Tamandua tetradactyla: one gene and its partners. The protein of the gene in region 3 binds, or shares a complex with, the protein of the main gene of each other region. Links are inferred from orthologs where the notes say so. Each region holds a gene or a part of one and is shown on either strand. Other genes may lie near its edges. The genes, in order: MYSM1, KIF11 and RBM10.

Region 1 (3,749 bases), on a different chromosome or scaffold from region 3:
AAGCTACTATATTCCTAGAGTTTGGTATACAGAATGTTTTCAATCAATATTTGCTGTATGAATGAATGAACAAGATAAGTGTGGCGTGGATCACACAGATCTTTAGGAGTTACAGATGAGGATTTTGTCATAAAATCCAGTGAGGGATTGAAGTAAATAAAGTGATCAGATTTGGATGTAAGGCAGCTTTAACTTCAGGAAAGAATAAAAGGGGCCAAGGAAACAAGGAGCAGTTACAAGGAAGTGATTATAAAAATACTGGAGAGAAGTGGTAGTAATCTATACTTAAGGAACAAGCAGTGAGAAGAAATGAATACATTTGAGAGGACACATATTGAATCAGCAGGTCCCAAGTAACTAATAGGGTTGGGTGAGTGGAAAGAGGGAGGTAAGGAAAAGGGATAAAGTCTAGGTCTATGCCTTGGGTGACTGGTGGATGCTGGCGCTATTTAACTAGGGGATGCTAGAGAGGCAAATTTGGTGAGGAGGGAAAAATGATAAGCTGAGGTGTCTGCTGGACATCCAAATAGAGATCTATTTTGGGAATTGGGTAAGCTGATCTGAAGCTCAAGAAAGAGATTTGGTTTGGTGACAGATTTAGAAAACATCAGCACATATTTGTTGAACATATGAAACTGCGATTTTTGTAGGCCAAAAATGGTAGAATTGGGGAAATTTCATATGGTTCAACCAGAAGTTGAAGCCTTGAGATAGTATCACCTGAGACTGTGTGAACAGTGCAGAGAAGTCCTAAGACAAAACCATTTGGGAACACTATGACAAGCATAAGAAAAGGAGAATGAGAAGGAATAGTAGGAAAGAAAGGTACCTTGGTACCTACCACTAAGCAAGTGCTAAAAAAGTGTATTTTATATTAATGTTCCAATGTTTCACACATGCTATCATCAGTTGTTAAGTATATACTTCAGGGGACACCATCCACAATAAATCCCAAATGACTGAAGCCCCAAAACTATGAGGCTCCATGTTCCATGATATAATGGTAATGATCTTCCCTGGAGTTACGTGAGGTAATGGCTCTGACCATTAGGAACCAATAATCTTTGAAATCCTGTTTATAGGAGGCTGATATAATCACAAGTGCACCAGCAGAATTAAGGCCCAAACAGTGGAGGAAGAAGGAAAGGGGTGGGGGTGGGAGTGGGGGATTTAACACAACCAGAAAAATAAAGAAGAATCTATGGTAGAAGAATGGTCTACAGTTAATGCCTTCAGATGATCTTTATTTAGTACTTCCAAGGCCAATTAATTTCTTTCTGGGCTGCAAAAGAATTCTTGCCCACCCACCTCATGGACTTGTGAAAAGTAAATTAAATCAAGTACACAAAAGCATTTGGTCAAGTTTTAAACAACACAACTGTGAACAATTACTGTTATTAAAGACTTCCTACTCATATGCATACTTTGGGCTTCTTTCCTCAAAAATTTGATGTAAAATTACTATATGAGTTGAATTATCTCTCACATTTTTATACGGCTTTAGAGTTCAGGAAACACTTTTATATCCATATCTTGCCCCTCATGGCCAGGTTGTACTCTTCTCCCCATTTAACAGTGGTTCTGATAATAGGTTGAACCATATGAAATTGACATTTTACAAAAAAGAGTAAAAAATGGTTGAATACTGGCAATTTCATATGGTTCAACCTAACAGATTAATGAAGATTTTCAGTTAAAACAACATCGCTAGCTGGGTTTAGAGCTAAGGTTTTCTGATGTCCAGGCCAGTCTTGACATCTTCCACTACTAAAATTATATTCTAGAAGAACACTTTTTAAATGATACGTATTGATCTCAGTAAGTGGAAAAAGTAACGCATCAATAGACCAGATCTTCCAAGCTGAAGGTTGCTGTTTAAAACCACACTGGGCTGTTCTGCGGAAATTATTATTAAATAAACTGTGATTCCTCACCGCGTCCTCACGCTACCATCCCGAAGGTAATCGGATAGCCAAACACATTTACAGAGCCCCTACAATATGCAAAAACATTTCATAATAGTTTCATTTGATCCTCAACAACCCCATGAGGTACATATCACGATTATCAGTTTACACATGAGAGGTCTGAGGCTAGACAAGTGTCTTGTCCAAGGTCACACTGCTAGTAGCTGGTAGTGTTAGTAAACGCAGAAAGCAAACTCAGAACTGTCCAACTCTAAAACCCTGACTCTCCTGACTCTCCCTCTCAGGTAGTTTATTCTCCATATGGAGAAGAAACGTGTTCTCGCCCAAGGTTACAAGGCTTGAGAGTAATGGCACGAGGGTCCCTGCATTGAGGTCCCGTTCAGGACCCGCCAGGAACCGCCTCGGTTCCATTGGCGGGCAGTGGGACTGAGGATACCGGGGAAGATTCTAAAGCGAGGAGGAAGGAAGAAGGCACCTAACGCTGGAACGAGTGCAATATGCCAGGCGAAGTCGGCGCCCTCACAAGCACCCGGTGAAAAGCGAAAGAGGAGTCTCGAAACTAGCCCCGAATAGTCGCCCGCTAGGGTGAGGACACATGGGTTGGCGCGACGGGCGGCGCCACCAGAACCACAAGCCCCGCCGCCAGGAGACCCTGGCCTAGCGGATGGTCTTCCGATGCCCCGTGCCTTGCCAGGTCCGTGGGCTTCCCAGTGTCCTCTCCTCGCATCTGCGCCCTCTTCCCGCCGCCCGGTAAGAATCGTCTCACAGCCTCACCCTGTCTGTGCCGCCGCTGCCACTACGTCCCCTTCGATATCCACATCCGCCTCCTCAGCCGCCATGATGGGGCCGGACCGGGTCCTGTCCTCCCGAGAGATCCCGCGAGAGGTGGAGGACCCGGGGGCGGGACCGGATGCGTCAAGGGGAGGGGTTGAAGTCCCGTCAAGCCCCTCCTGGGCCAAGGAGGCGTGGCTTCCAGAAGGAAAGTCCCGGAGGCGTGTGGTTTAGTTCTTTTACGTTTTAAATGTCAGGATCCTTGGGAAGTGTCCCTGCCTTGGGCTTTTGAGAGCTGATGTTCTTGGACAAATTTTTTGGCAGTTCCCTTCTATCATTTGTAAAAGAGGAATAGCAGCAAATACTTTAATGGCCTGATGAAAAGTTGGAGCTAGGCTATACTCGGGGAACTGTGAAGGTGGCAAATGTGAAGAAGTCGTATCTGCTGGTTATTTACGTTTGCGCTTTCACGTATGCTTTCTCTCTCTCTTTTAAAAAGAGATGTAAGTGCTGAACAAACTCTATTTTAAAATATATAACCTAATGATTGCATCATTTATTTTGTAGCGATCTTAACAATTAAAAAATCACTCTCAAATGACCATTAATCGTTACAGTAACCCATTGAGATAATGGCTAGTATCGTCAATCACACAATAGATGAGGAAACTGAGACTTAGTTTCCCAGTTGCTAGAACGAATACCATACAATGGTTTAGCTTAAACAACAGGAATTTATTGGCACTCAATTTTGGAGCTAGGAAAAGTCCATAATCTATGTGCAAGCAAAGCAATCCTTTCTCCCCAGAGACTATCATGTTTTGGACCTGCTTACTGGTGTCTTGGGTTTTTTTGTTTGTTTGTTTTTTGTCTCTTCCATCACGTGGCAATTTCCTCTCTTTCCTCTTTTGGTTTCTAGCTTTTTTTGTGTCCAATTTCTTTATCTTATAAGGACTTTAACCGTAGTGGATTAAAACATCCTCATTCAATTTGGGCTCACCTTAACTAATAAAATCTTCAAAGATCCTAATTACAAATGGTTTGCACCAC
Region 2 (3,749 bases), on a different chromosome or scaffold from region 3:
TTCCTATTATTTCTGGCATCCCTAAGTCTAGAGGTGATTAAGCCACTTAATATCACTCCAGTTGTCAAGTCAGAGTATGAAAATCACAGAGATCAAACATTCCTAAGTTATCAAACTCCCAGAGAGGTGCTTTGGAAACTGTCTATACTACAAGAAAGTACTGCCAAGCTACTAATTTCCTATCCAGACTTCTCTAATCAGAAGTCATAAGGTTTCTGCTGATCATCCTAACAAACTCATCATTTAGTTGGCCTCTCTATAGTTATATAAAAATTAAAACACTCAAATGATGAAGGGAGATTGAGGACTTAAAAACAAAACTAAAGTCCTGTCCTGTGAAGTGCTAAATTAATCCATTCAACAAATATTCATCAAGTACCTATTACGTGATAGACTGTTCTAGACATTGGGGATATAGCAGTGAACCAGACTAAGTTTCTGTTTTCTGTGAGTTTTCATCCTAGTTTTGGGGGAAGAGTGGGATGAAATGATGAACAAATGAATATTTTAGGTGGTGATAAATTAGAAAAGAAAACAAAGCAGATTGGAGGATGGCAAGTGATGATAAGGGAAAATAGCTGAAATTCTAGGGTGATCAGGAAGGTTTCTCTGATAAGTTGACACTAAACAGAATCTAAAATAATAAGGGAGCCAGCCAATGTAATTATTTTGACAAAGACAGAGAACAGAAGTTGCAAAGGCCCTGAGGTAGAAGCATGGGGGATGTGCTTAAGGGAAGGAAAGAAAAAATATATGTGGGAGATGTGCGGATTGGCAGAGCATCAGAAAGATAGCCAGTTGCTAGATCATGCAGTGATCTAAAAACTTTAGCCTGTAGACCAAATCTGGCTGTTGCCCTGCTAGCAACCTAAGATCTGGTTTGTTAAAAAAAAAAAAAAAATCAGAGAATGTGTGACAAAGAGTGTATGAGCCAGCAAAACCTAAAAATGTTTACTATTTGGGTCCTTTCCTAAAAAGGGTCACCAACCCCTGAGGGTCTTCCCATTCACAAATTCTTTATTTACTAACGCTTAAGCACAAATACTTGCACTCAAAAGGCTATTTGAAAGAAGAAAGATTAACCTGAAAAGAAGAAAAAATGCTCCAATACTAAAATTATTGTAAATATCAGACACTGCCTAAGTGCATTTCATTGGTGATAGGGTAAAAAAAATGTCTTTTGAGGTAAGGCTTGAAATATGGGGGGATAAGAAACACTAAGTTCAGGATAATGGCTAACTCTAGGTGAACAAAGAGGAATTGAGGAGGGGTACACAGGGGGTTCTACCTGTAATGATGTTTTGCTTCTTAACCTGGGCAGTGGGTACACAGATATTTGCTACATTGTTCTTTACAAGTTTCTGTAGGTATGAAATATTTTGTAACAATAAAAAAGAAATCAAATTAAAAAATATATATACAGACAGTAATATGGCCTAGCTTTTTCTTCTCTTTTCTTTTTTTTTTTTTTTGCCTAACTTTAAACAGCCAAAATAATCTTAAAATTTGCATTTGTAACATGGGCTGTTGAAAAAAAAATTCAAAACAAGTAACTATTTAGTTGCAGCCCTAGAGTACAGCTGGTGAGTGTAAATTGGCTAGACTCAAGGTTATCACCAAATATCTTCTCTGGCACGTAGTTTAGAAATCTGGCTCTCACTTTTGATACTCAGATCGTCAGAGCTGAGTAATAGCCTAGGAAAGTCTGTGGGTATAGTTCTTTTTAATAAATTTTTTTATATTGTAAGTTCTAGATTTCCAAAAAAGTTGCAGGTAGTTGTACACATAGTTTTAAAAACAAAAACAGACATACAAAACATAGACCAGCAAACTGATCAAGACCGCTAAAAAGTTTAATAAATCATCTTTAATTAAGCACCAGTTTATACAAGTACGCTCTTCCTAGACTATTTAAAGGGAACAGACGATTACATTTTTAGAGGTGAAGGAGATGAAGCATAAGTGCTAAAACATCTGCAAAGTAGGTATGCAGTCTTATTTCCAAACTGACAAACCGAATGGAGTAGCACATAAAAGTGGAACCTAAATCTTTATCGGCAGTAGTTAAAAAAAAATAAGAATGCAATTTCCAATAAAGAACAAGGATCAAATTCGCCTTCTGATAGCAGTTTAAATATCATATTAATACAAGCACCCGTATTTTCTCCAAAACAGAGGCGATGACAATACTAATTTACTCCCTACAGGAACCTGGTGTCGTTTTTACGGAAGTGCAACTTAACCAAGGAAGGTTTGGCCCCCTCCAGGAATGCAAACAAAACCCCTCTCCCCGGACCGCCCTGGAGGGAGCTCAACAGCAAAGCCCGGGCGCCGCGAATCCTGCCAGTCACTCTACCTGCATCTCACCACCACCTGGATGTTCTTCCCCTTCTCCTCTTTCTTCTTCGCAGACGAATTCGGCTGGGACGCCATGACGTGCCGCGTCAAAAAAAATCAAGGTCTGACCGCAGGCTCGGACCCTGCGGGGTGCAAAGGGACAGGCGGCCGTCGCGCCCACCTCCCCGGCTGGGCCCTGACTCAACCCGGGAGAACCGACGCACGCAGCTCGGCGCCTCCGCTCTCCACCAGGGACTCTGACAGACCGCAGCTTCTGCCCAGGACCAGCCAAACTCGCCACCCGAAGTCCGAAAAACCAAACGACTACGCGCCTCAATTTGAAAACCGAGCTGAGTCGCAGGGCCAATCGCAGCGCGGCGGCGCAAGGCACCATGGGGCCGCGTTGTCGCGTGGGCCACGCCTCCGGGGCTGGCCTGCCGGGAAAGGAAGCTCCGCTGTAGGCGCCGCTGCGAACTCGTCATCAGTGCGGCAAACGCACGAGTAGAGGGCGTGGCGGTGCTGCGTGGCTTTCAGGTTCAGACTCAAGTTGCTACGTCAAACTCTGGCTGCGCCACTTGCCAACTGGATGTCTTTTCTCAAGTTATGTAACGTTTCTAAACCAAACTTTCCTCACTTGCAAAATGGAAGTAATAGTAATGGCCTCCGAGGGTTGTGGTGAGAATAAACTGCGTGTAAGAACGTACACTGTGTCTAGAACACAGCAAACGATCAGGAAGAGTGGCTGTGATGGTTTAAGTATTAGAAAATTGCAAGAGAGTGGTATGGGACGCACAGAGGAGAGAGGCCCAAACACTCTTTAGCGGTGCAAAACGAGCTCTGAAGGTAGCGGCAAGGGCTGTCTTCCGAGGGTAAGAAATAAGGCTCCCACAGGCACCAAGTCGTCATGAAATAGCCTTTAATGTCATTTTAAGAACTCTGAATTTACCCTTCATTACATGAACTCAAGCAAGAAGGCCAGATCAGATTTCCGTTTTGGAACAGCCGCTCTTTAGTGGTAGACGCATTCGGAGCGCTTCCCTCCAACCAGCAGGCGCAGCACTCGCCAGCGTCCCGAGGACTTCGCGCAATACCCGCCCGCCGTCCGCCTACGAACCCCAGCGTGCAGAGCTGCCCGGCCCGCCGACCTTTGGTGGCCTCGGTCTTTACGTACGTGGGTTATGGAAGTTGGTGGTGCTTGGGGTGACTGAGCCACTTCAGGTGTGGGTTCCGGCCCAAGAAATATTGGGCCAGGGCTCATAGGCGGCTCCTGTAGCTACGCTTCTGGGCCACAGAAACCTAAGGGCCACAGAAACCTAAATGTTTTCGTTTCTTAGTAAAAACAACGGCCTGGTGGAGAGGAAAGCTCTCAACTGCCCTCAGTGTTCCTCCATTGACTAACCCTCATATAACTT
Region 3 (3,749 bases):
CTTCCTGAACCAATGCTCACTTGGGGACAAGCCTAAACTGCTTTGTAGGAGTGGGGGAGGATAACTTACCGTCTTTCATACTCCATATCCTGATAGGGCCTGCGGGGGCTGCTGGGGCCCCTCCTTAGCCGCTGGCTCCGTTTCACTTCCCAGCCACCCCCACTGCTGCCACCATGATCTGCCAGCCTGGGTGATTCCTCCTGTAGGGACTCTAGGGAGATGGGAGGAAAGAAAGGGGTCAAGGCAGCTGGGGCAGAAAAGGTCTCCTTGAGAAACTCTGGTTGTCCAGATATTTTGCTGTTCTTTAGCCTGGGACATTGTTTTCCAACTCCTAGTACTCCTGTAGACCAAAATGGGAATACAACTACTGCTTGGCCTCCTTCTTCCTTTCTCCACAAACACGTGGCTAGAGCCCTCTCCCTAGAAATAGCAAGACCGTCATCAGATAGGAGAGCATCTTGTAGAGAGAGCTGGAACACTCAGAGGGGCCACAGACCTCGGAGACTGGAGGGGTAGTGATGTCACCCACCCATCCAGTATTCAGGGATTTGCCACCTGAGACTTGTAGACAAGCTGCCTGCCCAGGGGAGCGCTTAGCGCTGAATGACCTGCCACAGAATAGACACTTTAAGTACAGAGGTGAGACTCCACAGCAAGGGGAGTCTCAGGCATCCACCAGGCTCCTTCTAGGCCCCCAGGAGCCATTTCGTCCTCCTAACAAGATTCTGCAAGGGGACAGGAAGGAGACCATGAAACATTCTTGGGTGAGGAGGGGGGTGGGGGCTAATTTGGCAACGAGATAGCTGCTGTCTCACTAGGCTCCTGGCCAGCTCAGCTTTGGCTCTCACAGGGCAATTGGGTCAAACTAATATTCAGCCAGGTCCCAAAGTGGCTCTCTCCCCAGGGTTTGGGCCCAAGTCTTCTCAGACGTAACAGGGGCCCTTTCAGAGGCTGTTTCAAACCACTGTGCTATTCTGCTAGGCCAGAGGAGCAGTCAGTCAACTCACTCAACCCTGAGGGTTGCGGAGCCATGTGACCCAGCCAAGGGTCATGATATATCCTGAATCTTCAGGCCCCACCCTGTGAACAGGAATCTGAGAAAAGCCTATCGGTTACAGCACCTGCCCAACACTAGGATGCCACCACACCTTTCCCCATGCATACACACACCAATTTTCTCTTCCTCCTCAAGCCACAGGGAACCAGAGTTACCTATCTCCAGATACCTAAAGATTAGAATCACAACCAGGGGTCCACTTGGATGAAACCCAGATACAGGCTCTGGCAAAGGAACCAGAGCCACAACAGATAGAGGCCAAAGTCACAGATACGAGCCCCAAATAACTACAGGCAGAAATCACAGATAGAGACCCGCAATAAATAAGGGCCATAATCACACACTGAGCTCCCTTTCAATGGATAAGTATCACAGTCACAGATAGAAACCTCTCAAAAGAAGGGGCAATAAACCACACATACACTCCCTACACTCAATAAGTGGGTTAGGGCCTAGACACTGCCCCCCCACCCCCTACCCCACATGAGTAAGGACCAGAGTCACAGACATACCCTAGGGATAAAGAGCGGAGTCGTACAAACTATGAGCCCCCGCCGGCTCACGAATAAGGACCAGAGCCACAAAACATGTCCCCACTGATAGACAGGTACCAGTCACATAGACCGAGCAGACAGCACATCCCCTCCCCTGTGGATAAAAACTAAAGTCGCAGACACCCGACTCTCCAGGGATAAAGCCCAGCGTCACTGACAGTAAGCCACAGTAACCCACTCCCATCCTTCCCTCCCTTCCCCCAACTCGCGTGCACCCATCCCCGTGGTCCCAATCGCGCACGCGCCTTTGGTCTCAAAGGGGAAAAAAAAAAAGTCACCCTCTCCCGGGTTCAGACTGTGCACTCATCCCTCAGTTCCGCGCACCCTCCAGGCCCCTGGCCCGCAGTCCTTCCTTGCGCTCCTCTACGCACCCCGTTTCCCAGCCCCTTACCTCCACCCTCAAGACCAGCGTCGACGCTCACCTTCTCGGTCCGGGCTGTCACGGGAGGGCTCCCAGACATCACCTCGGCCCGTCGCCACCGCATCCAACTCTCCCAGCTCAGCCGGAGCTGGTCAGCGTAACCACCAAGTCCGTGGCTGGAGGCAGAGGGGAGGAGGAGGGGAGAAAGGGGAAGGGAGAAGCGCCAGACGCGCTACCCTCCCCGGAAAACCCACTGCCACCTACTCCCAGTCGATCTCAAACAGCCACACAAAATGGCGACGACGAGAAGGGAACCGGTGCTTCGACCACCATCCACCTACTAAGGGAGCGCGCTCCGCCGGTCCTCGTCTATTGGTCGCCGCCCGCGGTCGGCCAACCCTGGCCTCCTCTGATTGGCAAGCGAATGCCACCTCCCCACTCCCGCGTGCGAACGCCCGCAAGTCGAGAAAAAGAGTGGCCATTGGTCAATCCCGCGAGGCCCGCTTCTTAGAAGCTTGGCTTCCTTTGAAGATGAAAGGCAAACGGAAGCCCCGCCCCTTCCCCAAACAGCAAGGGAACTCGCTGTGCGATTGGCTGTGAACCACCCAAATGACACCGCTTTTTTCCCATCAAGGAAGAGAGCAGACCTGTCAATAAGAAACTCCTCAGCCCGAAGGAGAGGATAAGAGAAGGGTTGGTCCCTCCAGGACATGACAGAGAGAGGGAAAGAGGGCCACGCAGCGCCCCGCCTCATTTGAAAAGAAAATCAGACCTGAGACTTATTTACTGCGGCGGCGGCGGAGCGACAAATATCGCGCACGCGCAAACTGCAGCTGCGCAGAATCGCATTGCCGTCCCCGCCCCTAAGTTACTACGGAGCAATCTATCATGGCGGTCGGGCAACTAGGTTTGTACGCTCGCCGCATTTTGGCTGCAGCTGCGACGCGGGGGCTCCCGGCTGCCCGTGTCCGTTGGGAATCCGGCTCTTCTCGGGCTGTAGTCGCTCCACCTGTCGTGGCGGAGAAGCGTACTCGGGAACCGACCATACGCTGGCAGGAGGACCCGGATCCCGAGGACGAAAACCTCTACGAGAAGGTGAGAGGGAGGGGGAACTAGGACGTCGAAAGGGTCAATCGGGAGCAGGCTGACGGAGCGCAGTAGAGGACGTTCTTAGTTGACCGAAGGTTGCGCAGCTGGCGAAATCCTCTATGAATTTTGCCTAGCTTGTTCGCCTAATTTGTCCCCTGAGAGTCTGGTCTAGGGCCAGATGCGGGATTGGCATTATTTTGCAGACAGAAATCAAACTTGAAGTGGGCAATTCTCAAACCACGTTAGAAGCAATATAGTATAACAACAATAATATTAAACACCAATATGGCGCTTATTCTGCCAGGCAGTGTTCTAAGGACTTTATATGCATTAGCTCATCTAAGAAGCAATAATGTTTTGAGATAGACACTATTATATACCCATTTTACAGATGCGAGAACAAGCGCAGGGATGTTAGATGCTTGTCTCAGCTAACATAACATAACTGAATACATGGTGGAAATAGGTATTTGAACCTAGGTCTACTGGTCTGCTGTCCTGTATTAATAACAGACTCTAAAGTCAAATGGCCTGGGTTCGGATCCAGACACTTAATAGTTACTCATTTGTGTGACCTTGGGCAAGTGGTTCAACCTCTTGTGCCTAAGTTTTCTTTGTAAAATGGGGAAGTAATAAAAACACTATCTAAAGAATAGAATACTATACCTGCCTCATGCAATTAAATTAA

The links.
Region 1: RBM10 (region 3) and MYSM1 share a complex: the UniProt entries of both Homo sapiens proteins name them as parts of the large chromatin remodeling complex. The link is inferred for Tamandua tetradactyla from reciprocal best matches to the Homo sapiens genes RBM10 and MYSM1.
Region 2: RBM10 (region 3) and KIF11 share a complex: the UniProt entries of both Homo sapiens proteins name them as parts of the large chromatin remodeling complex. The link is inferred for Tamandua tetradactyla from reciprocal best matches to the Homo sapiens genes RBM10 and KIF11.

Annotation. Positions count from the first base shown.
Region 1 is NC_135328.1:162,155,368-162,159,116, reverse strand, and holds the start of MYSM1 (deubiquitinase MYSM1), read right to left. Parts: upstream 2,811-3,749; 5' UTR 2,768-2,810; coding exon 2,703-2,767; intron 242-2,702; exon of another isoform or gene 1-241. UniProt on the Homo sapiens protein: Metalloprotease with deubiquitinase activity that plays important regulator roles in hematopoietic stem cell function, blood cell production and immune response.
Region 2 is NC_135339.1:52,599,839-52,603,587, forward strand, and holds the start of KIF11 (kinesin-like protein KIF11), read right to left. Parts: upstream 2,723-3,749; 5' UTR 2,434-2,722; coding exon 2,357-2,433; intron 1-2,356. UniProt on the Homo sapiens protein: Motor protein required for establishing a bipolar spindle and thus contributing to chromosome congression during mitosis. Required in non-mitotic cells for transport of secretory proteins from the Golgi complex to the cell surface.
Region 3 is NC_135353.1:123,093,047-123,096,795, forward strand, and holds the start of RBM10 (RNA-binding protein 10), read right to left. Parts: upstream 2,617-3,749; 5' UTR 2,314-2,616; intron 2,149-2,313; 5' UTR 2,097-2,148; coding exon 2,003-2,096; intron 212-2,002; coding exon 70-211; intron 1-69. Other genes in the region: NDUFB11 (NADH dehydrogenase [ubiquinone] 1 beta subcomplex subunit 11, mitochondrial), read left to right, coding at 2,861-3,067. UniProt on the Homo sapiens protein: Binds to ssRNA containing the consensus sequence 5'-AGGUAA-3'. May be involved in post-transcriptional processing, most probably in mRNA splicing. Binds to RNA homopolymers, with a preference for poly(G) and poly(U) and little for poly(A).